Linked DNA regions of Drosophila melanogaster. The protein of the gene in region 2 interacts with the protein of the main gene of each other region in a pairwise test. Each region holds a gene or a part of one and is shown on either strand. Other genes may lie near its edges.

The links.
Region 1: the proteins of Spt-I (region 2) and CG34188 interact in a two-hybrid assay, tested with the Drosophila melanogaster proteins (one large-scale study listed by BioGRID).
Region 3: the proteins of Spt-I (region 2) and Tsp42El interact in a two-hybrid assay, tested with the Drosophila melanogaster proteins (one large-scale study listed by BioGRID).
Region 4: the proteins of Spt-I (region 2) and CG31775 interact in a two-hybrid assay, tested with the Drosophila melanogaster proteins (one large-scale study listed by BioGRID).

The regions. Positions count from the first base shown.
Region 1 is NT_033778.4:15,424,333-15,431,360, forward strand, and holds CG34188 (uncharacterized protein), read right to left. Parts: upstream 3,692-7,028; 5' UTR 3,643-3,691; coding exon 3,268-3,642; intron 3,215-3,267; coding exon 3,091-3,214; intron 3,017-3,090; coding exon 2,901-3,016; 3' UTR 2,759-2,900; downstream 1-2,758. Other genes in the region: Stacl (Stac-like), read left to right, coding at 1-73.
Region 2 is NT_033778.4:13,163,077-13,171,363, reverse strand, and holds Spt-I (serine palmitoyltransferase subunit I), read right to left. Parts: upstream 2,867-8,287; 5' UTR 2,794-2,866; exon of another isoform or gene 2,550-2,793; 5' UTR 2,524-2,549; coding exon 2,476-2,523; exon of another isoform or gene 2,414-2,475; coding exon 1,914-2,413; exon of another isoform or gene 1,858-1,913; coding exon 1,530-1,857; exon of another isoform or gene 1,475-1,529; coding exon 1,109-1,474; intron 1,057-1,108; exon of another isoform or gene 1,048-1,056; coding exon 883-1,047; 3' UTR 620-882; downstream 1-619. Other genes in the region: GLaz (glial lazarillo), read left to right, coding at 4,803-4,940, 6,533-6,687, 6,746-6,818, 6,875-7,147; CG15870 (uncharacterized protein), read left to right, coding at 7,521-7,892.
Region 3 is NT_033778.4:7,040,366-7,049,038, reverse strand, and holds Tsp42El (tetraspanin 42El), read right to left. Parts: upstream 3,271-8,673; 5' UTR 3,086-3,270; coding exon 3,026-3,085; intron 1,763-3,025; coding exon 1,604-1,762; intron 1,539-1,603; coding exon 1,383-1,538; intron 1,067-1,382; coding exon 860-1,066; intron 796-859; coding exon 724-795; 3' UTR 501-723; downstream 1-500. Other genes in the region: Tsp42Ek (tetraspanin 42Ek), read right to left, coding at 4,508-4,579, 4,636-4,830, 4,932-5,093, 5,163-5,321, 5,948-6,007; Tsp42Ej (tetraspanin 42Ej), read right to left, coding at 6,367-6,459, 6,892-7,254, 7,309-7,470, 8,496-8,561.
Region 4 is NT_033779.5:14,734,651-14,741,098, forward strand, and holds CG31775 (uncharacterized protein), read right to left. Parts: upstream 3,120-6,448; 5' UTR 3,081-3,119; coding exon 3,069-3,080; intron 3,002-3,068; coding exon 2,744-3,001; 3' UTR 2,440-2,743; downstream 1-2,439. Other genes in the region: CG31835 (uncharacterized protein), read left to right, coding at 1,301-2,350; CG42585 (uncharacterized protein), read left to right, coding at 5,372-6,421.

The DNA.
Region 1 (7,028 bases), 2.3 Mb from region 2:
TCAAGAAGATTTGTCCATGAAGAAGTTCGACCTGCGAGCCAAGCAGATCCATTTGGCGGCCATAAGGGCTCAGGTGAGTTTCGATTTAGTCGGGGTGAAAAGCTATAAAGTTTAGCGGGAAAATATACCACGATAAAGCTGGAAAAGCAGCAAAAGAAACCACTTCGAAGTTAAGTTTATGCCATGGAAAAGCTTTCACTTAGCTTTCCACAGACCTGTTGCTGACAGCTTTTTGGGTGAACTTTTCATGGCCGAGATCTAATGAGTTCCATTAGGCGGGGTCGGGACGCCCGACACGCCCCCCGTTTGCACGCTTGAAAGTACAGATGAACTGGCGCTCGTATGTAGGTCAAACAGCTGATTGGCGACTGCGCATGTGACCCAAGCGTTTCGCCATCTCCCTCGCTTTTTGGAGCACTGAAAGCCGCCAGCAGGAGCCAACTGTGGGTCAGGTTCGTCCTTCGCCTTTCGCTTAGTCCTGCGGTAGATTAGCTTGTGCGTGGTCAGTGCGGCTGTTTGGCTTGATTTTGTCCTGCATTTGCTAGGTCCCTGTTTTTTTTTTGCGGTCCTCACAAGAGAGTTACTCAGTCAAAATTACACCGTGTGCTGTGCGATTTTCTGTGTTTTCTGGTGTGACAAACTATTACTGCGTGGGAGTTTGGGAAAAACCATCAGGCTTTTGACTGTAACCTCAACCTCTGGGCCTGCAAGTGAATCAGCTGTTGCCGAACAGGGCTCGGAAAAGTCACTTCAGAGAGAGCAAGAGAGAGACAGAGAGTGAGAGAGAGAGAGAGAGAGAGAGCGCGCGCGGAAAATTGCATGCGAAGCGTTGCCAGACATTCGAGCCATCTCCCGATGTAGCTGTTTATAAAAGCAGCGTGCAACGGTCGCTCCGAGTCAGTCACGTGCTTGCACTTCGACGTATACGTAACGCGGCTCGCCAGCTCCGCTCTTGGGTGATCCGTTCGACAAATTAGCCGTAGCCGTAGTGCCGTAGCCGTAGCCGTAGCCGTACTTCCGCAGCCGTATCCGTATCCGTAAACGCGCCGTCGTCGTCGTTTTTCGTCGCGACTGAGGTGCGATTGGCTGCCAATCGCGCAATTGGAGGGGCTAGCTAAGAAACCAATGCAAACGAAACACAAACCTTAAATCCAAATAAAATTGAAATATATTAATATATATATATCCCGAAAACAGACACCATTCATATATATATATATATCCTCCTAATATATATGCATAATTTTAGAGCGCAGTTCAGGGCAGGCTTTTCTAGGCGAGTTGTTCTCTATTTTGATAGCCACACACAAGATAAATTGAATTGAGTGCAGCGCGTAAGTAACCAAACGATGATCAAAATAGTAATGCAACCAACTAGTCGACAGTCCATGTAAAATAACTTAGCTTTATTAACCAATCACGCATACGCACCGTGCGCCCAACGAATTCGAATCAAAAAACAAATAGAAAAGAATATAAATAAACAAAAAACGAATTAATGTAGCACTGCCAGAATTACTTCAAATCTTTTGCCTGCCTTCTACAACAAATTTCTAGCCAAGTAGTCGAAATTCGTGGCCAAGCGCTTAATTTCACCAATCAGAAGCTAGTGCAAACTAATGCCAATAAAACACAACTCAATCAATCTAGCTAGCTCGTATGTACTGTAAATAACCAATACTCTTTGCTAATCTAGATGTAGTTTAACCTATTCTTACTCAGTAATTGCAACATCAACTATGTAAAAATCTATCTAGAGCTAGAGGCTCGGCTCGCTTTGCATTTTGTAATTTCGTGACCTTTGTGCCTGCACCGCACCACCCGAATGTGGGTGCAGTCGCAATAGCACCCGTACACGTACTTGTAACCACAAAATACTACCAACTACCAACCACCCACAACACACTTCGCATCCGTATCCGCATCTGAATTCGCATCCGAATCCAAATCCGAAAGCTATATCTTAATCCGACTTCGATGTCGCGAGGAGTGGAAATCCGTTTGTGAACGGCCATCACTTGAAAAATTGAAAGAGAGACTAGCGACCACGGCGACACCTCGAATTTGTTGTTTGTTAAAAACACTTTGCGTAAATAAATACCAGTAGCCGAGAGACACACGCACACACGTACACCCCCTCTCTCACAAAATATATACATAAATAAATATATATATATCTGCCACATCATGCGCGTTATCGTTCTCAAAAAGAATCGGCCCAACAAACGCGGCACGCCCACGGCAGCAGCGGCCACCTCCTCGCGAGAACCGCCCAAAAAATCGCCATACGCAAAAGTAAGAATTTGAATTTAAACTCGATACTCTCAATATTTGGTTTCAATTTTCGACGATGAAATACTCGTTATCGCGATAACGAGCGTTTCAGCCTTTTGTTTCCTGTCCAATTTGCCAGTGCAATCAATTTTTGAGATTCCTACACCCCGATATTTTATATTTTCAGTGTGCACATTTGCTGGATTTTCCCATGCAAATGTGCAAGTTTTCGCGCCGCTCGTGTATGTTTCATGATTTTGAATGCAAATGCAATTACTTAGCCACAATAAACGCATGTTTAAGTAGCAATCTGTGCATACATATGTAGCTCAAAAATTGGTTGTAGTGGCCAGGCATGTTATAACTTAACTACCAATGAAATATTTGTTTAAATTACCATATGCTTTACCATATAACTAAGCTAAAAACGCTTTTAAGTCAGCATTATATAGCATTGTTTTAGATATGAAAATGACAAAGTATTGCAGTATATTGTGTATTTTTTTCCAAATTATTATGAGTACATGCTTTTTCAATTTGGGAATGCAACAACACAAGTAAAAATTAAATAATTGTAAGTAGGAGCTTGCAAATTTAAATGTATAGTTTAATTATCTTGAATTTAATTAAACTTCCTCCATTCGTGTGAACAGCACTTCCGATTCCTGCACGTTACGACGAAGTTTTTGCTGCAATTTCAAAACCAAGGAGGCAACCACTGCGCAGAAATAGATTTCAAGAACTGAAATTTGTATTAAAACGAAAGTTAAGGGTTAAGAAGGGGTATACACATACTACTACTACTTCTTTACTCACAAATAGAAATGGTAGAAAAGAGAAAAGTCAGCAGCTCGTCATCTTGCATGATATCATTACAAGTGCTAATTAACAAGGTTATAACCGTAATACAAATCCAAAGGACGAGACAGGATATGTGACTCTGGAAAGAGTATAGTATTATGTATTATTTGAACTCGTATGAAAGCTACTTACCCATTCTGCACCTACAATAAGTAGCACTGATCTGAAGATAGTCAACGAGATTAGTGCTTTTTGGAAGAAGAGGTTAGTTTCAAACATAGGCGTTCTCATGTTGGGTCCCAGCATATCTCCGTCCGGTTCCCTAGTGACAAGCATCGAATCCGGTGACTCCGTAGTTGTGATTGTGGTCTTGACCTCCATCTCCGACAAGTAAATGCTGCACATTTGTAGCACATTTACCAATGCTTCGAATCCGGCGATCAAATTGCAGCCCGTTTTCAAGCTGAAGAAATAAAAGCAGCTATTCAGTGGCTTTATTCCATTGATATTTTCATTAAGTCGGGTCCAGTCATTGGGGGAATTCAGAAAATTTCGAATATACGCCATCCTCAACCGATTTCAATAGATTACTGAAATAAATGCCGCTAAACAATTCGTTGCCAGCCTACTAATGAACTTTTCATCGATAGCCTGTGATTGAGTTTTGGGTTTACTTCCGATTCGGTCAATCGGAGTTAAGTGCACAAGAAAATCCAATTTGATTTATACGCTGCGGCAGGGAGAGCCCCAAAGTGAAGGAAAATCTAAAACAATTCAATTTTCCAAGTGTTTCAGCCAGAAAGAGAAAAACAAAATAAAGGCAAAAGCGGACAACAAAAAATCGCTTCCATCCTGTTCCGCCAAACCCTCCGGTACTTGTTCAACTTGTTCCGCCCGATTCGATGGCACAATCAGTTGCCCATAAGCGAAATTCCTTTACTGATTTCCTTTTAAAAGCATTTTTCGAATTGTCTTGACTGCGAAGCAACCACTTGAGTCAGTCCGTTCGACTTTCGTTCCTTATTCCCTCATTTCAGTTTCATTTCGGCCCTGTTTCAAAAATGCCCGAAGCCAAGTCGTATTTCCCATTTATTTATTATTGTATGGCGTGCTGCTACTGCAATGACATTTTGCTGCGAATATCCCTTATCGGTTGCCATCCGAGCCAATATGCTTGAATTATTCCATTTGGCTCGAGAGTGGAAACTCATTCAATTAATTAATCGTATTGTGACTGGGAATTATTTTTACTGATTTAAAATGCACAAACGGGCCACCTGCAAAGCAGATTAATTTCGCAGAACTCGAGAAGAGGCTTTCGGTCCCTAGGATTTATGGTTAAGCATGTTGCCGCGCGTCGACTGAAGGTCAAAAGCTGTGCTCCTTTTGTAAAGGGTTAATTTTAAATTTATGGCCCTGCCCACACTAACTTATTCGAGTCGAATCCTTGCCCAGGGACCTACGACAAATCCGTAGGCCAATCGTGACGGAAGCACACAAATTTGCACGTTAACCGCAACCAAAGCTACAATGGTGGTGTGCGTGGGAGTGTCTCTTTCTGCGTGCGTGTGTGTGTGTGTGTGTGTGTGTGACGAGTGCTTGTGTGGGTGTAGGCTGGTGTGTGGGTGACACGGTGATATTTCTCTGGGTCCTGACACGTTATCTGGGCGACGACCGTGTTGGTTCCTACTTTATTTTATTGCTTTAATAAATATGAAATGCTCTTACTTTTTTTTCCGGACATTCGGCATAGTTTTGCTTTTTTCGCGCCACTCACCATTCCCCATTCACCACTCGCCCCTCGAGTGCCACCAATTAAGTTGCCCAAATTGTGTTCTTCTTTATGACAATCCTCTTAATCTTAATCACGCGACTTGATGTCCACAAGGAATTGATGCCCGCGCGTTGAATAGGAATATTTATACGCATGCGGTTCTATAGGTCCATGGGTCTATGGCTCTATGGGTCTATGGGTCTTTGTATTTGGAAGCATAATTTGCTCGGGCATAAATTTTAATTAATCATAAAAACGCTGGCATAAAAATGCCAACAGGTCCTGGCAGCGTTTTCTTTCTTTTGCTCAGTTCTCGCGTCTCAATCCCCTGCAGCCTTCGCCTAGCACATTCCATCCAGGAATTCATATTCATGTTTAATAATAAATCACAAGATGCCGCCGCTGTTCGCCAGGAGCTGGGGATGCCCGGGGGCAACTGCGGTTGCATCCTTGGAATCCGCACAGAAAAACACTGGGAAGGCATCAGACGAAGGCGAAGTCAAATGCCAAAGGAAGCCCCAGCAAAATGGCGGCGGCATAAAAGGATTTGCGGCTAAAGGCAAATTTAATTAAAGACATCAGCACCGCCTCACACACAATGGCGCTGAATCAGGAGCAAATCCCTTAGCCTCAGCCGTTTTAATTGCCCACTACCTGTTCCTGTTCAGTCTGTTCAGCAGTCAAGCGGCCAAAAAGGACGAACCGAACAATGAACAATGGGTATTCATTTGCGAATTTCGGTATCAATTAACCGACCGCCCATTCATCATCAGAATCGTATCTAACGGATGTATGCTTCAACTAATTTAGTGAATGAACACGAGGAGAAAATGTTTTGCAGTTCTGCAGTTTTACACTGAAGGTTCTCGCTGTTGGCTGATAAATAATTAAGTGGCAGGGTCACAGCCACCAATGCAAATAAAAAACGGTGAAGCAAAGTGAGTCGACTTTGAGGTACCCTGTAAAATGTCATGTGTTAAATATCTTAAGTCAAGCGAAGTATGCTCCACGGCATTAGATACATATCTTAGCTAAAACTTTTACATTTTCTCTTACAAAATTAGAAAAAAAAAATATAAGAATTTTTTTAAAAAGTCAACTAATGTCCCAAATGCTGATTCTAAAAAAGTTGTAAATGTACACTGCTGCTTTTACTGGAGGCCAAGTGGGAGTGCCTTCGGGGTCGTTTGGCTGAAACTGATGGACACTTGGACAGACAGATTTTTGGCCGCTTGGCGCTCTGGAGATTTCACATTTCGTTGACGCACGAATGGCACGAAAAACAGTTTCAGTTTTCAGTTTCAGTTTCGATTCCTGGCACTCGCCATGGGTATCTGGTATATGGCATATCTGCATGTGAGTGTGTTTGCATTCATTAAAATTTCATTTGAAAATCAGCAGAAATGCTGCTCTAGCCTCTTCTAGTCATTTGTTTTGCCAGCCACGAGAACTTGCCATTGTATTCCCCTCGGATAGCTGCTCCTTGGTAGGGAAGTATTCGCCTGTCAGCAGGAGCCAAGTTGATGGAAATCTGTGAAATTGGTAGAAAAAGTGCAAGGACAGGCAAATCGTAAGTTGATATGCTTGTGTCTTGAATATTTTATTGCTGGAGAGATAAATCTGATCCGCAACTGAATACATGTGCCGAGTTTAGCACTAAGCACAAACTAAGTTTCACTCGCATTACATGTAAATTAAATATTCGTAAGCACGTGAAATAGAGACATAATAAGAAGATATGTCTTCGTCTCTAAAACATTAGGAATCTAAGGTGTTTTTATATATTTAATGTGATTAGAATTTTGAAAAGCAGTCTTAACGAAATCTTTTCCTTTTTTAAAGCTTCAATTTTTACTCGCGAGTATGGAAGTTGAACTAGATAACAGTTTGTGTTGCCATTATTAATTTTACTAGGAAATGGCCTTGCTTTCGCTCGCTGTCGTTGCAAATCGAATAACATTTTTATTCTTCCCTTGGCGATTTCGGTGGAATTTACGATTGCGTCAAAAGTATGCCATGCTAGCCAAGCCAATAAAGTTCACTCTTTATGGACGGAAAGGATTCGTTTGAAAAGCAAAAACGACCTAATGGTTTTAAAATTCGCTCACCCACTAATGCGAACCCTTCAAATCCTTCAGCTTTTGCTGGTCCTGCGAAGCTAACGGCTGTTTATCTGACA
Region 2 (8,287 bases):
GCGCACGGAAAGCTTTCGCTTGCGATCAGCTGTTTTTGCAGCTTTGCCTTTTGCGCCCGCCATTCGCGTATGTAAACAACATAGCGAAAATTGCTGTAATTGCATGTTTTTGTCGCCAAATGTTGCGTATTCGCACTGATAGCACCGCACCCAAGTTCATAGTACGTATACGCTCAATTGGCGCTGATTGCCGGCTGGCATATCGGCATCGAAATCAGAGCGCTATGTGCACAACATCATGATTTGGGGTCGTCGTTGTCAAGTTCATCAGTGAATCGAATGCACAAACATGGGTTTGAAAGTCGAAGGGTTATGATTATTGCTCACAGATTAGGTCGCCACTCGGAAACAGCTCTGCTCCACTGGCAATCAAATCGTTTCAAAGCATTTCCATTCCATCTGGCTTATTCCACATATTAGTTATTATTAAGCGTGTGATGTGTATCTTAATTGTCATGCAAGAAAAACATAAATAAATAATGAATGTTTCTTTGTGGAAGTTGTTCTTGTAAATTTTACAACAAATGCCACATAATATTACCCTTATCTTTATCGGGATATTCAAAAACGTTTGCGATTGCGCAGGCGATAAGAAACACCAATAAAAGGGCACGTAACTACCAAATAAACTTAATAGTTTTATTTAACCAGCTCTGTTATCTATAACGTGTAATCTTTGAAAGTTTTCCTAGACTTAAAATTTTTCATTAAAATGCAATGCAACAAAGTGCAAAGAGCAAGTGCAAGGCTAGCTATTAACTTAAACAATTCATACTGGACTGGTCGTGAAGAAGTGATGAAAAAATGATGGGGCCAGCAGGCCTTAAAACTTAACAGCAAGGCCATTGTCGAAAGAAGATCATTCCTTTCCAACAACAAGGCTTATAGGACGGAGCTGGAAACACTCTCGATGACCTCAAACGCATTGTCTATTTCCGAACTCTCCAGCAAACGGTTGACAGCAATGCGAATGCTGGGACGGACTGGTTGGCGTTCCCTGTTCTGCAGGTAGGCAGCCTGTACCACAGCCACTCCACGAGCAATGCACTGGGAAAAGTGAGTAGAAATGTATAGTTTTCATAATTGCATGGGGAAATAAAATGCCTACCTTATCAGCCAGCTCTGTTAGAAGTTTCAGTTCCTTGTCAAAGTTCTCGGCGGGCTGGGCAAGATACAAGTGCTTCACTGGTGACACCTCATCGCCGCGCAGGGTTAGCTTGCTGAATCGCAAAAACTTCTGGTGCAACGTCTTAGACTTTGCCTGCAGCTGCTCGAAGATTTGTGGTTCTCGTTCGAAACGATCCAACGCTGAAATAGCCGCCTGGGTGAGCATGGGCGGCAGCGAGGCCGAGAAGATGTAGCCCAAGCCAGAGAGGCGCTGGTGCTCGGCTATGAAGTGCGAGCCAACACAGAAGCCACCGACTGTTGCCATCGAACCCTCCATGCCGGCCGATATCAGATCGACTTCATCACGCTAAAAGAAAAATACCAGTTATAATTTTAGTTTTTCTTTCCGGTTTACCACCTACATCGACATTAAAGTGCTCCGTAACTCCGTGACCACCCTGGCCCAATGTGCCAAAGGAGATGCTTTCGTCGATGAACAAACGCAGCTTGTACTTCTGACGCAAGGCCACCAGGTCGGGAAGTGGGCAAATCTCGCCCGTATTCATATAGATACCCTCGGCGACGAGGAAGCGACGTGTCTTAGCCGCCTTTTTCGGATTTTTCTGGTCTCGTTTTTCTTGCTCAATCAGCAGACGTTCTAGATCCTCAACGTCATTGTGCTTAAAGAAAACGATTGTGCTTCGTGAAGCATCCAGACCCTTCTGAATGGCAAAGTTGACAGCCTCATCCCTACAAATAACAAGTAATTAGTCGCCAATCTGAGTAGGTGAAGTAGACAATCCTACACAAAGATAAGGTCGCCACGTTTGGCATACGCCGGAATGGCACTGGCCACGGTCGAGAAGCCGTAGGAATAGACAATGGCCTCCTCCAGGCCCATGAACTTGGCAATACGATCCTCCAGGTCCAGATGCACGTCCATAGTGCCGTAGAAGCCCCGAGGTCCGCAAGATCCAACTCCGTACTTGCGCAGCGACTTGCAGGCCTCCTCCAGTATCTCCTGGTCCTCGAGGAAGCCAAGATAGTTGTGAGAGCCAAGATTTAGGCAGTCGTGTCCATCGACCTGGATGCGCTTGCCCACCCTGGACTGCACAACGCGGGTGTGCAGCAGGGGATGATTGGGATCGGTGTCGGCCACCAAGGGCTCTGGTTCATAGTCGGCGATTATTCGGTCTTCCTCCTCCTTGGTCAGCTGTCGGCGACGACCTCCTCCTCGTCTGTGGAGCAGCAACCAAATCACGGTTATGAGCAGTAGGGTCTCCAAGACGAGAGCAAACGTGGGGGTCTGTGGAAGGAGTAGAAACTGGAGTAAGCTAAATGTGGTGAAAAAGGCGAATGCAAACTTACGTTTCGGAAAATACTGCCGATTTCGTTGAACAATTGGATGGCCACCATTTTGACAGTCTGGTTCCGTGCCCTTTCTGTGAAAAATCAATTGAAACCGCCTTAATTCCCTGAAGTTATGTGTCATCTAGCCGACGCTTTCTTATCGCGGGTATGCCCCATACATATGTAGAATTGAAGCATTCGACCATACGGTACGGAAATCTTTTCAATTGGGTGTGTATGCTGACATAGGCTAATTGCCAGTGGGCGAAAAATGTGCAACCACGCCCTTCTCCAACATTCTCTTACATTAAATATCCATTTAAATCGAGCACTCACCACAAAACTCAGTTAACTATAGGCAAAATGCGTGAAATATCCGCCGAAACAGATGGATGAACGAATGTACTAAAAAATACCAATACGCGGATATCTTTAAGATGTGCGCCAAATTGGCGGCGATGGAGGAACAGTGGAATATGGAACTAGGGGACGTTTTTATTTATTTTTTGTTATTCAAAAACCTGGTCCTGTCGACCTGTCCCGCCCACCTGCCCCACCGACCTGTCCCGCCGATCTGACCCACCGACCTGTTCCGCTGACGTGTCCCACTGACCTGTCCCACCGAGCTGACTCGCTAACAACAAAATACAACAAGTTACAACAGATTTTAAATTTTTATTAAAAATTACCTAGATTTTATCAATATTTTTATGATACTGAACTCAAATAAACTTGCTACGTAACGGTTCTTTTCTAGTTATCATTTCAAATATATGATCGATTACTATTTTATATCGATAGGCAGAGCAGCGATCGCAGTGTGACCGTGCGGTGGGAAATAACGAAATCGAATTCAATTCAAACCGCCGATCCATTCAGTTTCCATTGAACTGCTGCTGCGATCGGTCAACCGATGTGAATGAGCCGCGTTACTGGCGCCATCTGAAATTCGAGTTCGCGAGATAAAAACCGCGAGAAGACAAAGAACACCGCAAAAAGCCGATGTAAACAAAGAGATATAGTTAGTTCTGCATTTTGCAAGAAAACTTTATCACATTACACGCGAATCGAAACGGATACTTGTATGTGCACAAAGTGAAATCAGCTGGACAACAAGAGTATTTTGCAATTGCCTTGGTTTATTTTCAGCCACTTGCGGCTGTCGTTTTCTGTGAAATTAACACTTTTTTCTATTGGCAGTGATGGGAAGTGTATATTTGGGTGTACCTGGCTGGTAGTCTAGATACAACAATTTACGCTATGTGTCGCGATCTAGTCTAGGTACAAGTATTCACTCTTCCTTGCAAATGTCCTTGTTTTAATATATAGTAAATTCTATTGCATTTCATATAATTATTTACTATTTACCTATATCACTATTCAATTAGACCCAAGGAAATACTTCTTTCAAAGTCACGATTGTATTTAAAATATACATAATCATTTTTATCAAGTTCCATTTCGTCTTAAATTACAATATTATTAAATAATTGCCAACTGATACTGATGAACTATACTATGTAGCTACCAATCAAAGTACCTTTCACATCACTATCTATCAATCAAATAGTTATAGTTAGCATTGCCCATGCGATAATGGCAAACCGAAATAGCGCAAAGAAAAGCCACTTCCTATTTCTCTTGAACTTGATGCGCTCGAATGAAGCTACCATGTCTACACCATGCCCACTTTCGCAGATAAATCGAGCAATGCACCCGACTAACTCCATGACACAATTGATGCATCCCAGCGCAGTATTTCCTCGATTAGGTATTTTCGCTTTTACCCGCTTTTTGCAATGCGCAATAAGTATCTCTTGGTGTGTGCGAAAATCGGTGGAGCAACCAGTTTTCGAGCTGCATTTTGACGTTGGCTTTTCTTTTACGTAACTCGCTGGCCGGGCACGAGCCAAAAACCAAAATAAATATCAATAATAAACACGGCGCCGCGCCAACCCAGTTAGTGGTTTTCACTTCACTTCACCTCACATCACATCACTTTACTTCTTCTTCTTTGCGGGACCTACCAATTCGGTCCGGCTTGCTCCACTAAGCCGGTAGCCAGCACGTTCCATTATCGCACACATCCCATCCGGAATACTAATGGACGGACATGGTGTACCTTTGAGGAAATGTATATGTAGTTGGTTCATGACGATCCATAGTTCGTTGGCCAAGTGAACCCGTCGTATCGGAAATCACCGCTTTGTGCACAGCCAAGTTAAAACGGTCGAGTTCAATGGAAATTGCCTGATTTCGAATTCCACACAGTTTAGTTAGGTGCTGGAGTGCCGATTCTGCCGCCTAAAGTGCCAAATATTCAAAGTGAACTATCAGAAGCAACCATGATGAGTGGCCAGCCACTTGGCTCGAGGGTTTGGCTGTTGTCCGGAGTGCTATTAGTGACATTTGCTGGGACAGATGCCTACGGATTTGGACGTTGCCCGAATTATCCATCGATGCCAAAGTTTAACATGAGTCGGGTAAGTTAGTTGCTGGTTTTCTCATACATACTCTACAAACTCTAACTAAAATTGCTACATATTTCGATCGCTATTTTATTAACAGCCTGTTTGGGTGTTGTAAATATTCATACAGACATTTGTTTGCAGTCTATATATACATATTTGCAATTGGCTTTATTAAACCACCTTTCAAACCTGTTACTAAAGATCTGTGTCTATTGACCCACTGAGTAACACCAGTTATAAGATTACAAAGAATTTATGAGTATGAAAATAACTATGAGTATGAATATATGAGAACTGTTTGTCCTTACAACAACGAGATGCATTGTATAACTGGCCACTCATCGCCTGTCTATTTGCCATCGTCTTAAACGTGTCACATCTTCGATTAATTGGCACAAGGCGTCTGGCGCAGACGAAGACCCCTCTTTACATCTTGGGGATTGTGCAGATGATGAACTTGAACCATTTTAAGGCCACCAAATCCGATCCGCCGTGTAAAATGCAAACCAGTTTTACAGAAGGAGGCGAGCGGCACAAAAGCTTTATGGCCTGCTGATGGTAAACAAGCCACTTATTTTATAAAGAAGTAAATCAACCAGTACCAATGCTGAGACATGGGCACGCCAAGGACAACAAAGTGCACTACAGTGGAACATTCCTGGTGCGAACATTTCGCTATTACAGCCAATATTTCAATCAAGTAATTATGGAATCATCTTGCCAAACCACCGATATGACATCACAAATGTGAAACTAATGTTTTTCGAAAGAGAAAATTAGAAAATTGGTTTCAGGTGGCTGTAAAAAGATTGTTTCAAAGTATTTCTGAGAATCCATAAATGGACTTTGTTTAGTACTCATAAATGCACGTAGTTGTTTTAAGCTATAAAAGCCGACGACTGTTCGCTTAGATACACTGTCGAGATCATGGATAGAAAATTGGAACAATCACTTAAGCAGCTCAAATTAAATTGATTGAGCCTTGATTTGCATAAAAGATAATGCACCATAATTGCCCGGTTGAGGTGGAGGCATTGTCACTCACATTATGTGGGTCTAGCGACCTCCTCTCCACTTCCACTTCCACTTCCAAATGGCACATCATCCAATTGAGTTGTTGACAGGCGTAAATTAAGCCATTTGCCACCGGCCCCGCCCCCTAAACGCACTTTTGACCCGGGGCAAAGACCTCGACTGGCCAGCAGTGGCTCTTTAATGCGATGCGGCGCCCACCGCCGACTTTGAACTGCAAGATGAGCAGCGGCCAAAAGAGCGGCTCTTCTCAATGACCAGCAGCCACAACCGAGTCTATAACCAGTTTCAAAAATGTTTACGTTTTACGCATTGTTTGCGCTAAGTGGCATTTTGATTAGTAACCCAGTTAAGTGTTTCTTGGCCGAGAGAAACGCTGCGTGACAAAGGTTTTGGCTTTCAGACTGATGGTTATCAGGTGATTCTACTTCCAATAAAACCCTTCAGATTTAATGAAGTAATTGGAATATGTAGAAGAATTTCCATTCACTGAAACAACTTACTTAAGAACTTAAGAACATGTTGAAAAGGAAGTAAAAATATCTATTTTATGTAATGTCATTATCTTGTAGGTCCTTGGACACTGGTACGAGGTAGAGCGCTCTTTTTACCTTCCGGAAATCGCCTCCGGATGCACCACCTTTCAGTTTGAGCCGTACAACAAGGGCGAACAATCGAAGTTTTCCAATTTCAAGCTGGCTGTGGCCATTAAAAACATTAATCGCATGTATGATTAAATAATCTAATAATATATATTGTGTGTTAGAAGTGTTTGTCCTTTTTAGAACTGGTAATCCGAATGTGAACATTGGCTATGCAACACCAGAAAACAGCCGATCCTCCATCATGGATTTTAAGGTATCTACAATAAATAATATTAACAACACACAATATACACAATTCCTTTTTCCTAGTTTACCACCCGATTTCCGGACGTGATTGCCCGACTACTGCCAGGTTCCGGAAAGTACCAGGTGCTATACACAGACTACGAGAACTTCGCCATCTTGTGGTCCTGCGGCAGCATTGGCTCACTGGGTCACTCCGATCAGATCTGGATTCTTGGACGTGATCGGGACTTCGAGGTGGATATCCGATCCAAAGTGTACGACGTGTTGAAGCGGCTCTCTCTGGATCCGGAAAGGCTCATCATCAGCAAAAACAAACAATGCCCCGAGGCGCTGTAGGAAGCTCCTCCAGCGTCTCATCCCCCATCTATATGTTTAAGTTCATTCGGTTAAGGAACAAATTACATTTGATGCCTAATCAATTAGGCTGCTGTGATATCGAGGAGTGTGAATCGGCGGAGAGAGGCGAAGCAACGCAAATACAGAAACAAAAAACAAGAGTAACTCGATCGAGGTTTTCAATATATGAACTCATGCCCGCATTGCCAATTAACGCGGGTGTCCTAATTAATTTGCAATAAATAGAATTTCCCAGTCATCGGAACTTAGTCGTGATTTACCAACGGATTGAAAAGGTTCTGGCCGGATAAGATGTCCCGACTGTGGATTTTGTTTTGTCTGATTTTCCTTGTGGCCCAGGCACATATGTCCGATGCGAGAGGAGGTGGAGGCGGAGGAGGACACGGAGGAGGCGGTCATGCTGGAGGTTTCGGAGGTGGCGGCCGCGGAGGCGGATTCGGAGGAGGAAGAGGTGGTTTTGGAAGAGGCGGCTTTGGAGGACGTGGTCCAGGATTCGGTCGTGGCGGTTTCGGTGGACCAGGCCGCGGAGGCTTTAGAGGAGGCGGCTTTCGAGGCTATGGAGGATATGGCGGATATGGCGGATATGCCCGATATGGCGGCTACGCTGGATACGCGGGAGTTCTTCCGGTTCCTCTTCCCGTACCCTATCCCGCAACCTATAATCGCTGCTACTACGATAATTACTATTATAATTACTACTACTGCTGATATGATACGGTTATAGATGGTTTATTTATACAAATTACAATCAACACGTTGCTTTAGTTACAAAGATTATGTAAAGTTACCCAGAAATTCGGGCTGTAGACAGTTCTCTAAATATTCCATATCTCATTTAACTTATTGTTTTGATGGTCTCCGGTGTCTGGTTCCTGTTTGTCCACCCAGTGATCAGCGATCAGTGATCAGCGATCTTTGTGGAGTGCGACTGCGATGGCAGTGCTTAAGCCTAGTCAAAAATATTCCCATTAAAATGCAATCTACATATGCGCATATATATATAAACTTAATCTACAGACTAGATATGGATACGAGACGTTGATGATGCGTTCGTTGTGGCAGACTATTCGATCGAGATCGAGAGATCAGAGGGTATAAGTGTATCAAAATAGTTTCTGT
Region 3 (8,673 bases), 6.1 Mb from region 2:
CATAACAGTTCGCTTGACTTTTGTTTGCGCAATTCGTTTGAAGAGCCCTCTAGTGGTCAGTTTTCTCCAACGCACAACATCACTGAAAAAAACTATCGCTCAACTTCAGTAAAATGTTTAGAGAGGTGGCTCTAAACACGAAGTTTATGTTGCTAAAAGAAAGAATATTTTCATATTCCGATGGATGTGCCCGCTGTAAGGAAAGTGCATGGATAGGAAAAAAAGAAACCGCTTTCGACTATTATATACCCTTTACACGAATCATTGGAGAGAAACATAAACATATATATGTAAGCCTTAACGCTTTTGCTTCCAACTTTTTGTTCCACATGTGCTCATAATTTGTTTTTGCGTGGACTAACTTAAAACATTTTATATAGTTATCGAGAACGTTCATACGGACGGACAAACGGACGGTCAAGGTGAAAAACTCAAAATATTTTGTATCACCGGTATCGCGAACCTATTTTGAAATCTTAATTATTGTCGAAAATATTGTTGAAAGTAATTTTTCTAAATATATTTGGTATTTTAAACGACATGTGTTTGGTACTTGTAGTTATGTACATATTATTTTAATATTCGAATGTGTTAAACATTGCTTTAATAAAAAGATTAACTCAGTTGCTTGGCAAGTAACGCTGGGTTTTCGTATCAAAAACAAACCATACACTGATGACACTTAGATTTGAGGAGTTTGGTTTCTTATTCAGTAAATATTCACTAATAGTTATATCGTCTCCGCCGGTTGGTGTAGTGAATGGCCAAGATGATGGCCAGCAATAGAATGACAGCCTATAAGAAATAAAGAAATGAGTTAGAAATTTGCTCCACCGTAATAGAAATAAAGAGCTCTTACGTTGAATCCGAGCAGACCCCACTCCAAATAGCCCAGAGTGGTTGCCTCATCTGCAAAAGCCTCCTCCACTTTGATGAGGCAGCCGCGCACATATAGATTCAGTGGATTCACACAGCTGTCGTCCTTGCAACAGCTACTTGGAACGGTATTGTTCCAGAATTTGATATCCAAGTAGTCTTGGGCACTGTCGCGGCCACAGCAATAGTACTAAAGTGATAGAAATATATAAACACCAAAATTAAAGGAGAAGGCTAAGCATACATAAATATGTACTTCAGCAGCTTTGCGCAATTTCTAATACTACATTATTAGAAATAAACATAAGCTAAAGCGTTATATTCAATTCAAACCATGTAAGATAACACTAGCTAAAAAAGAGCACGGCCCTAACGCCTATCTACCTTTTGCTTATGTACTTATGTATATAACAAAAAAAATTCCAAATTAAAGCACTCTTTTAATCTTTATTTTGGAAGCATTTGAACAAACAAACTAGCCTTTGCTTTGTTACATTGGCACTCACCGTTTTCTGAATAATATCCATACTGCCAGGCTTCGTCTGCTCCAGCTCCCACTGATTCTCCACCGTTTGAAGCGCGTACTTTTTAAATACATCTTTGGGATTCAGGATGATAAACGCCACTATAAGTAGCAGCAAAATCAGCAGCAGTGACGCATACTGCAAGGCAATTAGAATTATTAGCTCATGTATGATTCACCTAATTGCAATATTCAGTTACGTACCGTCCAGAGCATGCGCGGCGATTCGCGAACGGCTCCACAGCATCCAAACAGGGATATTACCAGGATAGTACCGCCCAGAATTAAGATGCCGATGGCATATGCATCTGGCATTGCTCCCCAGCCAAGGCCGCCAAAGATGAGCACCAGGATACCGAGTATCTAAAAGTCAGAAAATTAAATAGTCAATAAATATGTCCAGCATCCTCTAAATTATGAATATTATCTATCTATGTAAAAAATTGCCAAACAAAATTGGGTTTATAATCTCAGACCGCCTAGCCCTAAAAGTTTTTATAAAACACACATGCATAAAAGCAAAGATTAAAACAAGTCGAGTTCCCCGACTATCAGATACCCGTTACTCAGCTAGTGTGAATGCGAACGCTAATTTTTATATTTTTTCTGGAATATCGATAGATATTGGGGAATAAAATGAGAAAATTTAAAAATTGTTCAAAAGCTTGGACAAGCTCGATTTTGTGGGCGTTAGAGTGGGCGTGGCAGCATGGGTCAGCAAACTTACGCTGCGTCTTTGTCGCTAGAAGCTGCATGCTGAATCACAACCTTCTAGTTTTTATTGTTCCTGAGATCTCCATGTTCATACGGACAGACGGAAATGGCTATAGATCGACCTGTTCAAGCAAATATAGTATACGCTTTTACGAGTAATAGACGTAATTAAGAAAACAAAAAATGTCTCTTAAATTGTTTGAGCGACTGCGTTTTGGAATCATGACAACATTTTTTTAAAAGCGCTGAAGTGGGAAGTTCATACGGACAGAAAGACAGACGGACAAACGGACATGACCAGACCGAGTTGGCTAGAGAGTGTGATTAAGAATTTGTATACTCTCTAGGGTCGAAGAAGAATTCCAAAAGGATCAGTCAACAATCTATTAGGATTGGGCTTACATCAGACCATCGCGGCCTTGAGAAGGCCACAGAAAGTTTTGATGCATATGGGCACCGACTAATGCGTCGAGCTCGGCCTCATCGCTATTTTCATCATTATCTGGTGAATAATCCGGTTTCCATATTCCGCTCGAATTAGCCTTTCAAACGAAATCCGAATGCATGACGCACTTCAGCAACCTCGTTTCGCCGCTTGGCTAGCAAGCCCTCCTCTTGGCTTAAGGAACTAAAAGGCCGAGCAGAAGCCATTAACAATAGACACTGGCTAACACACACAGCCAGCCGCGAAGCGTTGTCATAAACCAAACACGCACCCGAGATGATATCATCCACCGACCAGGTGGACGTGGAACGGACAGCATAGACCCCAAACACCGAGGCTCCCCTCACACAAATTTCAAACCATCGCAATTAGCTGGCTATTTGTAGAAAAGAACCGGCAGATACGCAGATATATCGCTTAGACTCCCAAGGCACCATATGCCAATTCCAATTCGGTGCTCTACTTACCGCCCATAAGGCATTGAACAGGAACAGCGAGTACTTTATGGTGCCCGTTGCGCAACCCATTTCGAATGTTTTTCCACTTCAAACTTTTGCCTTTGGCTAGAATGCAACCGAATCGCAGTGCCACAAGTGCGGCAGTTTGCTGTGCCGCCGATTATTTTCAGTTTTTGAGTCCGTATCGGCGGAACCTGACTGAATCGGTTAGGAGTGCGCACTGGTGCGGCCACGGTCACGAGCAAACTGAGCTCCCCGAAAACTCTCTCGCTCGGAATCCGATCCGAGTCGAGCGGTCCGAAGCTCCAAAGCTGCCGCTTCTGCACCGTGGGTTCAATGAATAGAATAGCAGCTGTTCATGGAGCACCAAAATTATAGTGACGAACACTGCTCCTAATACTTAAGGCAATGCAGAGTGTTTCGGCACGAATCAAATGATATGGACTTCCTGTACGAATATGAAATACGTAATCAATTTTTAATCAAATATCTTCTCTAAGCAAGCTCTACGAAATTGATTCTTTTAAATTCATTTTCACAATTGAACAGTGATTGAGTTAAAATGATGTGCCCCACAGTGCCAGCTAGCAGTGTTTGTTAAAGCAAACAAAAGCAGCCGGGCACACACATTACTATACAGTAGAACCTCAATAACCCGCTCCCAGACGATAGCAAAAGTTCATTGCTTATTGTATTGATTTTCGTTGATACCATAGATGTTATTAAAATGAGAGGTTACAAAATATATCACTATCTTGTTATATTGATTTGTCAATTAATATACTTCGAGTGACTAAAATCCATTTAGCCGAATTCGCCTGCACTCGCAGTAGGCAAATCAAGAAAGTTAAAGGTGGCGGTGGCACTCTAGTGCGGCTCCCGCCATTCGGAAGCCAAACAGAAACTGAGGCGGGAAAGTTCGAAGCGTGGAGCTGGTTATGCTTGACAGAACTGAAGCGAAATCTATATGTCTCCGTTTGCCAGATGTTTAGCCGCGGTGTGTGTCTTATCGAGAGCGGAGTTGGGTCTAATCGACCACCGCCTCTCAAAGCAATTTACCAACGATCGAATTAATGCCGGTAAGATTGATTCAGCTCGATTGCGTCAGACACTCGGCACTGAATGACGCCATCAACATCACCGGATGAGCTCAGTTTCCGATGCGGAGTGCAGGATCCTGACTTCCACTATCAAAATAGAAACCCTAAATGCATTGCTCACTTTGTGTGAATCTTAAAAGTATAGGAGCTATATACCGAAAGACAGCTGAACTGACCCTGTTAGGCAAATACATAGTTACAAATACAAAGTTACTAGTTTAAAAATCACAATTTTAATCAGTTCGGATTGAACCCTTTGTATAATCGGAAGTATTCGTTTCATCGGGATACGCTTTTATTTCTCCTGGGAGCATCAAAAACTTTATACAAGATTACTGTAAAGGAATATTGGCGCCCTAATAATATATTCAGAATTCTACGAAAGTATTCCTTAGTAGGTGTAGCGAACGCGCTGCTTCCTGAATCTTCCGACCAAGTAAAAGGCGGCAATCATCATTAGAATCTGTAAAAACTCTGTAAGATTAGTCCCTCCATGTGTAGTTCACACATTTCACTCACGGTTATTCCCAGTGCTATCCAGTTGGTATCGTGGGCGTAGCTGAAGAGCACCACAAAGTTCTCACTGGACTTTTGGACGCAACCAGCTAGATAGTGGGGCATCTGGGGGTCCTCCTGGGGATAGCAGCTGGGCGGCAAGGTTTGACGACCGATGGCCACGTAGTCGTCGGGGCTATCACGCCCACAACACTCGTACTGTTAAGATAATTCATAAAAATGATAAACGATAATGCCAGCATATTAAATATATTCGATTAAAAGTGCATGATGCGAATGATCTTCGCCAGAATACGAACCACTGTCTGGTAAATGTCCATGGCGCCGGGTTCCACCAGCTCCTCGTCCCATTTCATCTGAACCTCCTCGGCGGCGAACTTCTCTATGTATTCCTCAGTGAACTTGAAGCGGAAGATGCCTAGCAAGCTGATTATTAGCTGAGCCAACAGCAAGAAGCCGTACTGTTGACATACAACACACAACATAGAGTGAGTGAATTACCAAACGGATGACATAGCGTTTCCACTCACCGTTGCGGTCATGCACACGTTCTCCATGCAGATTCCACAGCATCCCAGTACAGCCGAAACGAAGATAATGCCACCGAGTCCATATAGAAACAGAATGTAGGCGATAGGGGCTTTCGAGAGGGCCAACGTTGCAATGGCTATCAGGGATAGACCCGAAAGCTACAGAGGGAGCATAGGGTCAATTCAGATTAGCATTTGGCAATGATATCGGGTGGTAATGTCAATGACTCCAATGGAGCTTGAGGTATTTTCAAAATATTATCAAATGCCGCGGTGAAGAAACTAGATTTTCCCGTTTATCTGGGCACTGGAATCTCTGTTATTTGATTTGGTGTTTCACAATAACGTTCGCTCTCTTAGTGCTAAATAATGAGTTATTTTTAAAAGGATATGGATAAAACAAGTTTTTGGCAGTTAAAAATCTTGTTTTCTTCCATAATCTTCCATAAATTGTAAATATGGTACAAATCGCAGCATATGGTAAAGTCGTAAAGCATTTCTAGATCAAACAAATTGAATTTGGAATGTGTTGGGGCTAATCATTAAAGTGCGGCAAATGTTTCTCATACATATCTGACAAGCAAATTACGTTTACTGGCCAAACAAATTTTCGATTCCATGAAAACGGAATGCGTACTTGCTTGTCGATTTGCAGAAAAATGTATTCATTTAAATTCCTGTGGGAACACAGATGGCTAATTTACATTTGTAATACATTCTTATAGCACAGAATTACCAATTTTTATTCATATGCATGTGAATATATGCATATGTTAAGAACTCACCGCGTTCAGAGTATTAAGAGTGTTAAGGAAACACTTAACGCAACCGGAAGTGCAGCCCATCCTAGTGCTACGATTAAGCTGTTTTTGTAAAATTCCAAACTAATTCCTCTTGAATAATTAGTAATAGAGAGTAATCTTTGTTGTATGATCGAACCTGCCAGATCGGAGTTCCGATAGACAATGAATTTCAGATGCAAATATTTGCCGGCAGCACGTAAAATCCCAAAATCACGATCTGCGCTCTTCAATGTTCTTTTGTTTTTCAGATCTTCGCAGCCGAATGATGCCGAATTCAATGAGAGAGAGATATAACTGCGGGGAACTCGTTTAGGCTATGGAAAGTATTTATTTTCTAATGGCATTTTAGCTAATTTGGTTAATTTTTATTATCAATAATCATGCAGGGGTATCCTCGGCCATCAGTCGTTGATGGGGGTCTCCTCGTCCTTTATCTTGGTTTTGGCATACTTGCGAGCCTTGCCCAAATGGTAAGCGGTGAACAAGCCCAAAAACTGAAAAATACATAAATTGTAATAATATAATATTGATATGGAATCGAAATCGAATAGACAAGCGAACTTTGTTAAAAAAATATTTTACTGTCTTAACGTCCTTACTACTTTATAACTTTATAACATCAAGCAAAAGCTCAACAACTGTGTACATAAATAGTAACGATCGCACCTTTGACATATTTAGTTTAAAGAAAACTTTAGTAACAAAAATGGTTTGAATGAAAAAACACACATCTTATCTTGGCAGGGATTTCTATTTAAGCGTGACGAATAAAAAAGTAGTTAAAATGTGTTCACTGAGTCAGTTGTGTGCGTTAATTCAAAAGTTATTGGATAACTCTTCCATAAGCGACGTGCCGAAACATACCCTTGTGCTCAAGTACCCTTGTGGCAAGTGAATTTTACCCTGCGTATGGTTTAATGTCTCACCTCGAGGGCAATGATCGCCATGCAGCTGTAGTAGTTGAGCTCCGCCTGCATTCTCAGAGTAGCTACCGCCTTGGTGGAGCATCCCTCCTCGTAGACGTGCGCCGGCTTGGAGCAGTCGAAGGCGTAGCAGCAGCTGCTGGGCAGGGCGCCGTGCTCCTCCTGAAGGTAGTCCTGCGGTCCCTCAATGCCGCAGCAGCCGAAGAGGCTGTGCACTGGCTGCATCTTGTCGTCGCTGTGGGTCTTTCGCTCGAAGAGGTCGCGCATGCGCTCCTCGAACCTGCCCATCAGCTGCTCCCGCATCGCCGTGAAGGTGAAGAGGTAGGAGCCCAGGGCGGCTATAACCAGGCCACTGCAAATTAGGTACTGAATGCAAAGAGGTTAGTCTGTGACTTGCAGTTGTGAACGCAGTTTACTCACGTATATGGAATACTTGTACGACACCTTCAAGGCCACGTACATGCCCAGGAAGGCGACTCCGAAAACTGCTCCTCCGCAAAGTGCCGACCCATAGCTGCCGTAGACGGAGACGGCCGAACCCCAGGTGGTCACGCCACAGGAGAAGAAGAACACGTTGCACGTCTGAACGAAAGGGAAACAAAATAGTTAGTTAAGTCCTTAGTACTAAGGAAAATTATGGACTAAATTACTTCCTAATCTATTTCTTCTTGAACGAACATCTTTCTCGCAGAGTTAGAAACTAAAACTAAAAGTGTGGCCCCAATAACTTAATAAATTACTTGCCAAGGTTGTGCGTATGAACTTCAGGAACTAGCTATATGGAATGCATTATTATTTAACACCTACCGATAAGGCGTAATAGTTTTAGGGTTTATTATTTTTAATAGGTGAAAGTTACTTATTAAATCGTTGATCAGCCAGCTTCAAAGTCTAAATATACATTTTGTACTGACCTAATAATATTTTAATGCCGCGACAAGCACTTTAAATAATAAATTGCACGTGTAGTGCTGGGGTGCCAAATAAATAAATACAAGCACGATTCATTAGCGTCTACAGCGTCATTTTTTCAACTTACATTTGGCAGTCAGACATTACCAGCTATCCATCAACTAGTTTTCTAAACTATGGTAAAATGAGCATTAGGCATTTGGCATTTGTACTTGCTAAGCACCAAAATGAAAATCTATGAGACTATAGCATGCAAATGCAAGAACATTTTATGCTTTCATGCTTAATCAATCTCTGACATTTGTAAACAGTGTCCCATGTGCATAATTGTATAAGAATAAATTATATAATATAATAGTGAATTTAATTGGCGTAAGCCACCCAGAATTGCGGGCCATTTATAGATATTGCAAAAATTACAAACAGCTGGCCGGCGGAATTATGTAAGTATGTGAACAGGTATTATGCATTTATAAATATTTTTTGAGATTGCATCGATTTGTTTATAGTCTTTAGCGGCTCATTGTCACCAATTTTTGCTCTCTTGCGAAAGATGTGAACTTGGGCGCAATATTGATTTTTCGATTTTGGCTCATTGCTCGCATCACCGGGTGTTGTGCAAGATTCCCATTTGGGTCAGGCTCGGGAAAATGGGAAAGCTCTGGAATGGGGAAATGCGCATCTTTTTCACTTACCACAATGAGAATGCAGGTGACCAGTAGGCCGTACTTCCAGGGTGTTATGGGAAACGACTTCTCCATGTTGCCACAATGTCGCACGTGAGTTTCCTTGGCAGTTATGCTTGTGAACCAAAGTATCTGGCTGCCGATAGAATGGAAGATATGACCTCCGAGTTCCGGAAACTCGCTCGAT
Region 4 (6,448 bases), on a different chromosome or scaffold from region 2:
TTGTATTCAAATCCTATTATAAAGCGTAAAACACTGGGAAAGTGGGAGAAAGGGAGGCAGTGGCGGCAGGACTCCATGTTTGCAGCACGTTTCCACTTTCGCACTTGGTAAACATAAGTTGCCCACGCACACACACACACACTCATTCTGGCGAAGAGATTGCGTTCCGTCCGCCACACTCTATAATATAATTACCAACACCAGCGCAAAAACAGGAGCTCTGCTATGCACTCCCAAAAATGTTCCAATAATTTCAAAGTTCTGAAGCTGACATCTTATTTAAACCTAATAATGAATTTGAAAATTATTTTAAAATATAAGTTCAGAATAGTTTCCTAGTTTTCCAGTCCAATGTATGCACGTCATTTTCATTTATAAGGTTCCGCAGTGTTTCAAAGGACTGAACCATGAAATAATTATTTTATATGTTATCCATTATTTATTAAACATCTTATTTTTAAGAGTGTACTGAATCCACCACAATGGTCGCCGAAAGGGGGTGGTGCAAGGGCGGAGGTGCATGAAGCCGGAAAACTTCTATTACAACTGCCGCGCACCAAGTCGGGAAAATTAAAAAGAAGAGAGCGAGATGGAGATTCAAACCGAGACAGAGACAGAAGAGTAACTAATGGCACAACAGCCACATTTAGAACCGATGTGTTCAACGCAATACCTACTAAAATAGCAATTTTTGTGGATTTTTTGGGTTTTGAATTTTATGTGTACACACACTGAAGCTGTATTACATTTGGACATATGTATAATTATAAATTCAAGCTAAATTTTCAGCTCAAGGGAAGTTTAATTTTCGATAACTGCATTCTGATTTGAGCAAATATAAAATATCCTTTGAGTTATCTTCTACTGTCAAAAGATTTAGATAAAAGATTTAGTTCCTTATCAATAATGGGGGCTTATTTCTCGTTTCATATAGGTTTGGAAAACAAATTGCATTATCGTTATTTGTCACGTAGATAGCTGTGCTCACCGGACAAAATAGTACAGTGCATGTTTATTTAACTTTTTTTTCGCTGTACTTAAGGTTCCAAAAATAAACATTTGTTTAAAAGAGGCAAAGGAAATATGTAGAAAGCTTGAGTAAGTTTGATACATTTAGGTTGAAAAATAGTTTTAAAAGTAGAATTATATGTTATTACCAAACGCCCCGAAATATTTTACATCTATGAAAATCATGTCATTGTATAGATTCGATTTGTTAAAATTTAGAACCCTTTTGCCCGTTTTTTCGACCAGAGTTTAGGTATATTCGCTAAGAACGAAGTTAGCACAAGGATCGAGGATGGGTCACCGCAACATTTGCTGCAACGGCTGTCAAATGACGATCTTCCAGGGTAGCCGCTTCCGGTGTTTGCGCTGCGTGAACTATAACCTATGTGACATATGCTACGATCATCAGATAGAAACGGAAGAGCATCGCGCCAATCATCCCATGCAATTGTTCCCTGACTCGGACGATCTGGTTCCGCTGCTTTACGGCGAAATCCCAGAGCTGGTCCACCTGTCCAATTGCTTCACCTGTCCACATTGCGGCCTACTTGCGCTCACAGCGAAGCGGTTCATCGAACATGTTTACGTTCAACATCGGGTGTCCAATGAATATGTGGTCTGCCCCATGTGCGCCGGACTGTCGGCCGCCGAACTGGTGGCCATACGCCACCTTTCCAAACATCTCCTGCACAACCACATCGATCACGCCAATTACCTAGAGCCCGACACACCGCCACTACGCCGAATATTTACCCGTAATCACATGCGCCACCACCGCCAATCGCAGTTGCAAACAACTCCGAATTCAAGGATATTCGATATATCCGTATGGCTGTCAACTGGACGTGTGAGCTCCGATCCCCAGCTCCTAAGCAACAATGATCCTCCAGAGGAGGCAGCCAATTCAGAGTCCCTGGCGTTAGGCTTGAGTTCCGGGGGGCCATTCGAACACGACGACGACAGATATGTTCTACTTCAGTGGATTGCACAGCAAAAAGTGCAGTGCCACGATACGGACGAATCTCAAAGGCTGCGGCGAACCCTCTTCGTTGAGCACTTGCTGATTTCCATGCTGTGCTGCGAGGAGTTGCAGTTGCCGGATGGAGACAGACGAATACGGGAAGGAAATGGGGAGAGTGATCTAGACCAGGAAAACCATAGCAGTCTGGTCAAGGTCATGTCAGTGATGTCACTGCCGTGGACAGGAGTTTGGCAGACCAACCAGCTAGACGGATCGGAGGGGGAAGGCGAGATACGGGCAGCCAAAAAAGATGGAGTCGATCTGGACAAGGTGCAGATCGAGGAGCACAAAAGGGTGGCTGCTGAGGAGGCCATTGATTAGGATACTCGAAATTGTATCTGTTTTTTCAATCATGTTGAATCCGCTTTTTAGTTGCGTTACATATTTCAAAGAAAAACAAAATTTTTGTGAAAATTTGGCTTATATTTATAATATGGCTTTTATATTTTGGCTTTTATTTATATTTACAATGTTTTAAGTAAAACCATTTGAACATCTGAAAGAGAAGATATTTCCCGTTGTCCCTTATGTTAAGTGTATTTATTTCTGGGCACTATTTAATAAATATAAATGAATAATAAATATAAATTTATTTTCATAAAACTCATAAATTTTCGAGAACGATAAAGTAAAAAATTCCAATTGTTTTTTTATCATAAAGGTGTCATATTTTTATTGAGGTATCTGCGTTAAGACGGTGCTATGAATTGGTTTTTACCAGCCTTGTTGCTGTTGCTGCTGCTGATCACCGAATCCACCTCCGAATCCACCTCCAAATCCTCCTTGCTGCTGCTGCTGCTGATCACCGAATCCACCTCCGAATCCACCGCCAAATCCTCCTTGCTGCTGCTGCTGATCACCAAATCCACCTCCAAATCCTCCTTGCTGCTGCTGCTGCTGATCACCGAATCCACCGCCGAATCCAAACTGAGGTAGGGCAGCGGCCGCGGCGAATAGGGCAATGAAGAGGATCTGTAACAATATTAAAATCAACTTAGTTCTTAAAGGTTTTTCTTTGAAGCGTATATGTAAAACGTACCAAAAACTTCATGGTGCTGATACTTCGGTTAGTCTTGCTAATGTGAATAAAATTTTTGGACGCCTCCGATCTTTTATACTCTCCTGCAATCTCATCATGTCGTCACGCGCCGAAGTATTATCAATGTTCTGACAAAATCAAGTACAATTAACCCAACAAAAATACGAAAAAAATTTCCAGACGTCTGGGAAATTAATATTTGAGCACTGTATCAATGCCTATGCTCAACGGGGGGAACCCTTCAACATCAATCTTATCTGGGAAGTCGAGCCTAATCTAATAAGTCCGCAACAGTTGCTAAGAAAAACTAAGGGCGACTTAGAAGAAGACGTTGTTTGAGATTACTTTAGATCATTTATGTTCCGTTTTCACGCATCACAAACGTGTTACGGCAACAAATGTTCTTGTTTGCTTTTCTGGGTTATCATTAGACTTTCGAAATGAGGAGGGATAATTAAGTATGAAATCCTTGTAATCATGGATTAATTTTTTATACATACGTATAATTATGTTATGTCTTTGAATTTTAGCGCTTAACAGGTTAGACCACTATAGTCGCATTCCTCGATTATCAGATACCCATTTCTTAGCTAATAGAAGAACTAAGATATTTACAAGACAAGACTAGATGAAATCAATGAAGAATCTAGAGTGTTGTTGGCACAGGTTCTGAAAGAATTGGAACTATTTAGAGGTCTGAATCTCATTCAGTTCATACAGACAGGCTTACAGACAGATGGCCAAACGAATACGGCTAGATAGACTCCGCTGGTGATGCTGGTGAAGAATATATATATTCTGTATAGGTAAAGGTTCGGCAACGCCTTCTTCGAACTCCCACAGACTTTTTAAAGAATTTGGTATACTCAATTACTCCACAAGTACCGTCTATAAAAACATAGAAATTATGTGTCTTAAAAAATTGTATTTATTAAACTAATAAGACTAGTTTATTTCTTTACATCCTTTTTTTTAAAGAAATATTATTTGTATTTTTTTTCGCTGTGTTTGGTTACATTCAAAAACATTTAAAATTTTCCAAACCAATTGTACTTTTTTTGAGAGCAAATTCAGCCTAAAAGAATACTGTTAAGCTTGTGAATTTAAATGCAGCGCTAAAAAGTCTTCGCCGTTTCTTATACTTTTTTTTTAGTGGCAATTGAAAAGCTTTTAATCGGTATATAGCTAATCAGCTCCAAAATAAGCAAAACAAATTAACAAGAAGAAAGATCAGGCTAAAGGTCCTCAACCCCTGATCAGAAATCAGCTCTGTTAATGCAGTGCTAGAATTTTGCTACCTCATCGCAGACGCTTAATCTAATAATCACAGCTTGGGGTATATAGATTTCGATAGGAAATAATAAGCAAAAAATAAGAAAATTTTGTTTTTATTACTTTGTTTTGGTGCAAATCGCTCCATTCGGCTTCCACCTGCTATATGTTTATTAAACATCTTATTTTTAAGAGTGTACTGAATCCACCACAATGGTCGCCGAAAGGGGGTGGTGCAAGGGCGGAGGTGCATGAAGCCGGAAAACTTCTATTACAACTGCCGCGCACCAAGTCGGGAAAATTAAAAAGAAGAGAGCGAGATGGAGATTCAAACCGAGACAGAGACAGAAGAGTAACTAATGGCACAACAGCCACATTTAGAACCGATGTGTTCAACGCAATACCTACTAAAATAGCAATTTTTGTGGATTTTTTGGGTTTTGAATTTTATGTGTACACACACTGAAGCTGTATTACATTTGGACATATGTATAATTATAAATTCAAGCTAAATTTTCAGCTCAAGGGAAGTTTAATTTTCGATAACTGCATTCTGATTTGAGCAAATATAAAATATCCTTTGAGTTATCTTCTACTGTCAAAAGATTTAGATAAAAGATTTAGTTCCTTATCAATAATGGGGGCTTATTTCTCGTTTCATATAGGTTTGGAAAACAAATTGCATTATCGTTATTTGTCACGTAGATAGCTGTGCTCACCGGACAAAATAGTACAGTGCATGTTTATTTAACTTTTTTTTCGCTGTACTTAAGGTTCCAAAAATAAACATTTGTTTAAAAGAGGCAAAGGAAATATGTAGAAAGCTTGAGTAAGTTTGATACATTTAGGTTGAAAAATAGTTTTAAAAGTAGAATTATATGTTATTACCAAACGCCCCGAAATATTTTACATCTATGAAAATCATGTCATTGTATAGATTCGATTTGTTAAAATTTAGAACCCTTTTGCCCGTTTTTTCGACCAGAGTTTAGGTATATTCGCTAAGAACGAAGTTAGCACAAGGATCGAGGATGGGTCACCGCAACATTTGCTGCAACGGCTGTCAAATGACGATCTTCCAGGGTAGCCGCTTCCGGTGTTTGCGCTGCGTGAACTATAACCTATGTGACATATGCTACGATCATCAGATAGAAACGGAAGAGCATCGCGCCAATCATCCCATGCAATTGTTCCCTGACTCGGACGATCTGGTTCCGCTGCTTTACGGCGAAATCCCAGAGCTGGTCCACCTGTCCAATTGCTTCACCTGTCCACATTGCGGCCTACTTGCGCTCACAGCGAAGCGGTTCATCGAACATGTTTACGTTCAACATCGGGTGTCCAATGAATATGTGGTCTGCCCCATGTGCGCCGGACTGTCGGCCGCCGAACTGGTGGCCATACGCCACCTTTCCAAACATCTCCTGCACAACCACATCGATCACGCCAATTACCTAGAGCCCGACACACCGCCACTACGCCGAATATTTACCCGTAATCACATGCGCCACCACCGCCAATCGCAGTTGCAAACAACTCCGAATTCAAGGATATTCGATATATCCGTATGGCTGTCAACTGGACGTGTGAGCTCCGATCCCCAGCTCCTAAGCAACAATGATCCTCCAGAGGAGGCAGCCAATTCAGAGTCCCTGGCGTTAGGCTTGAGTTCCGGGGGGCCATTCGAACACGACGACGACAGATATGTTCTACTTCAGTGGATTGCACAGCAAAAAGTGCAGTGCCACGATACGGACGAATCTCAAAGGCTGCGGCGAACCCTCTTCGTTGAGCACTTGCTGATTTCCATGCTGTGCTGCGAGGAGTTGCAGTTGCCGGATGGAGACAGACGAATACGGGAAGGAAATGGGGAGAGTGATCTAGACCAGGAAAACCATAGCAGTCTGGTCAAGGTCATGTCAGTGATGTCACTGCCGTGGACAGGAGTTTGGCAGACCAACCAGCTAGACGGATCGGAGGGGGAAGGCGAGATACGGGCAGCCAAAAAAGATGGAGTCGATCTGGACAAGGTGCAGATCGAGGAGCACAAAAGGGTGGCTGCTGAGGAGGCCATTGATTAGGATACTCGAAATTGTATCTGTTTTTTC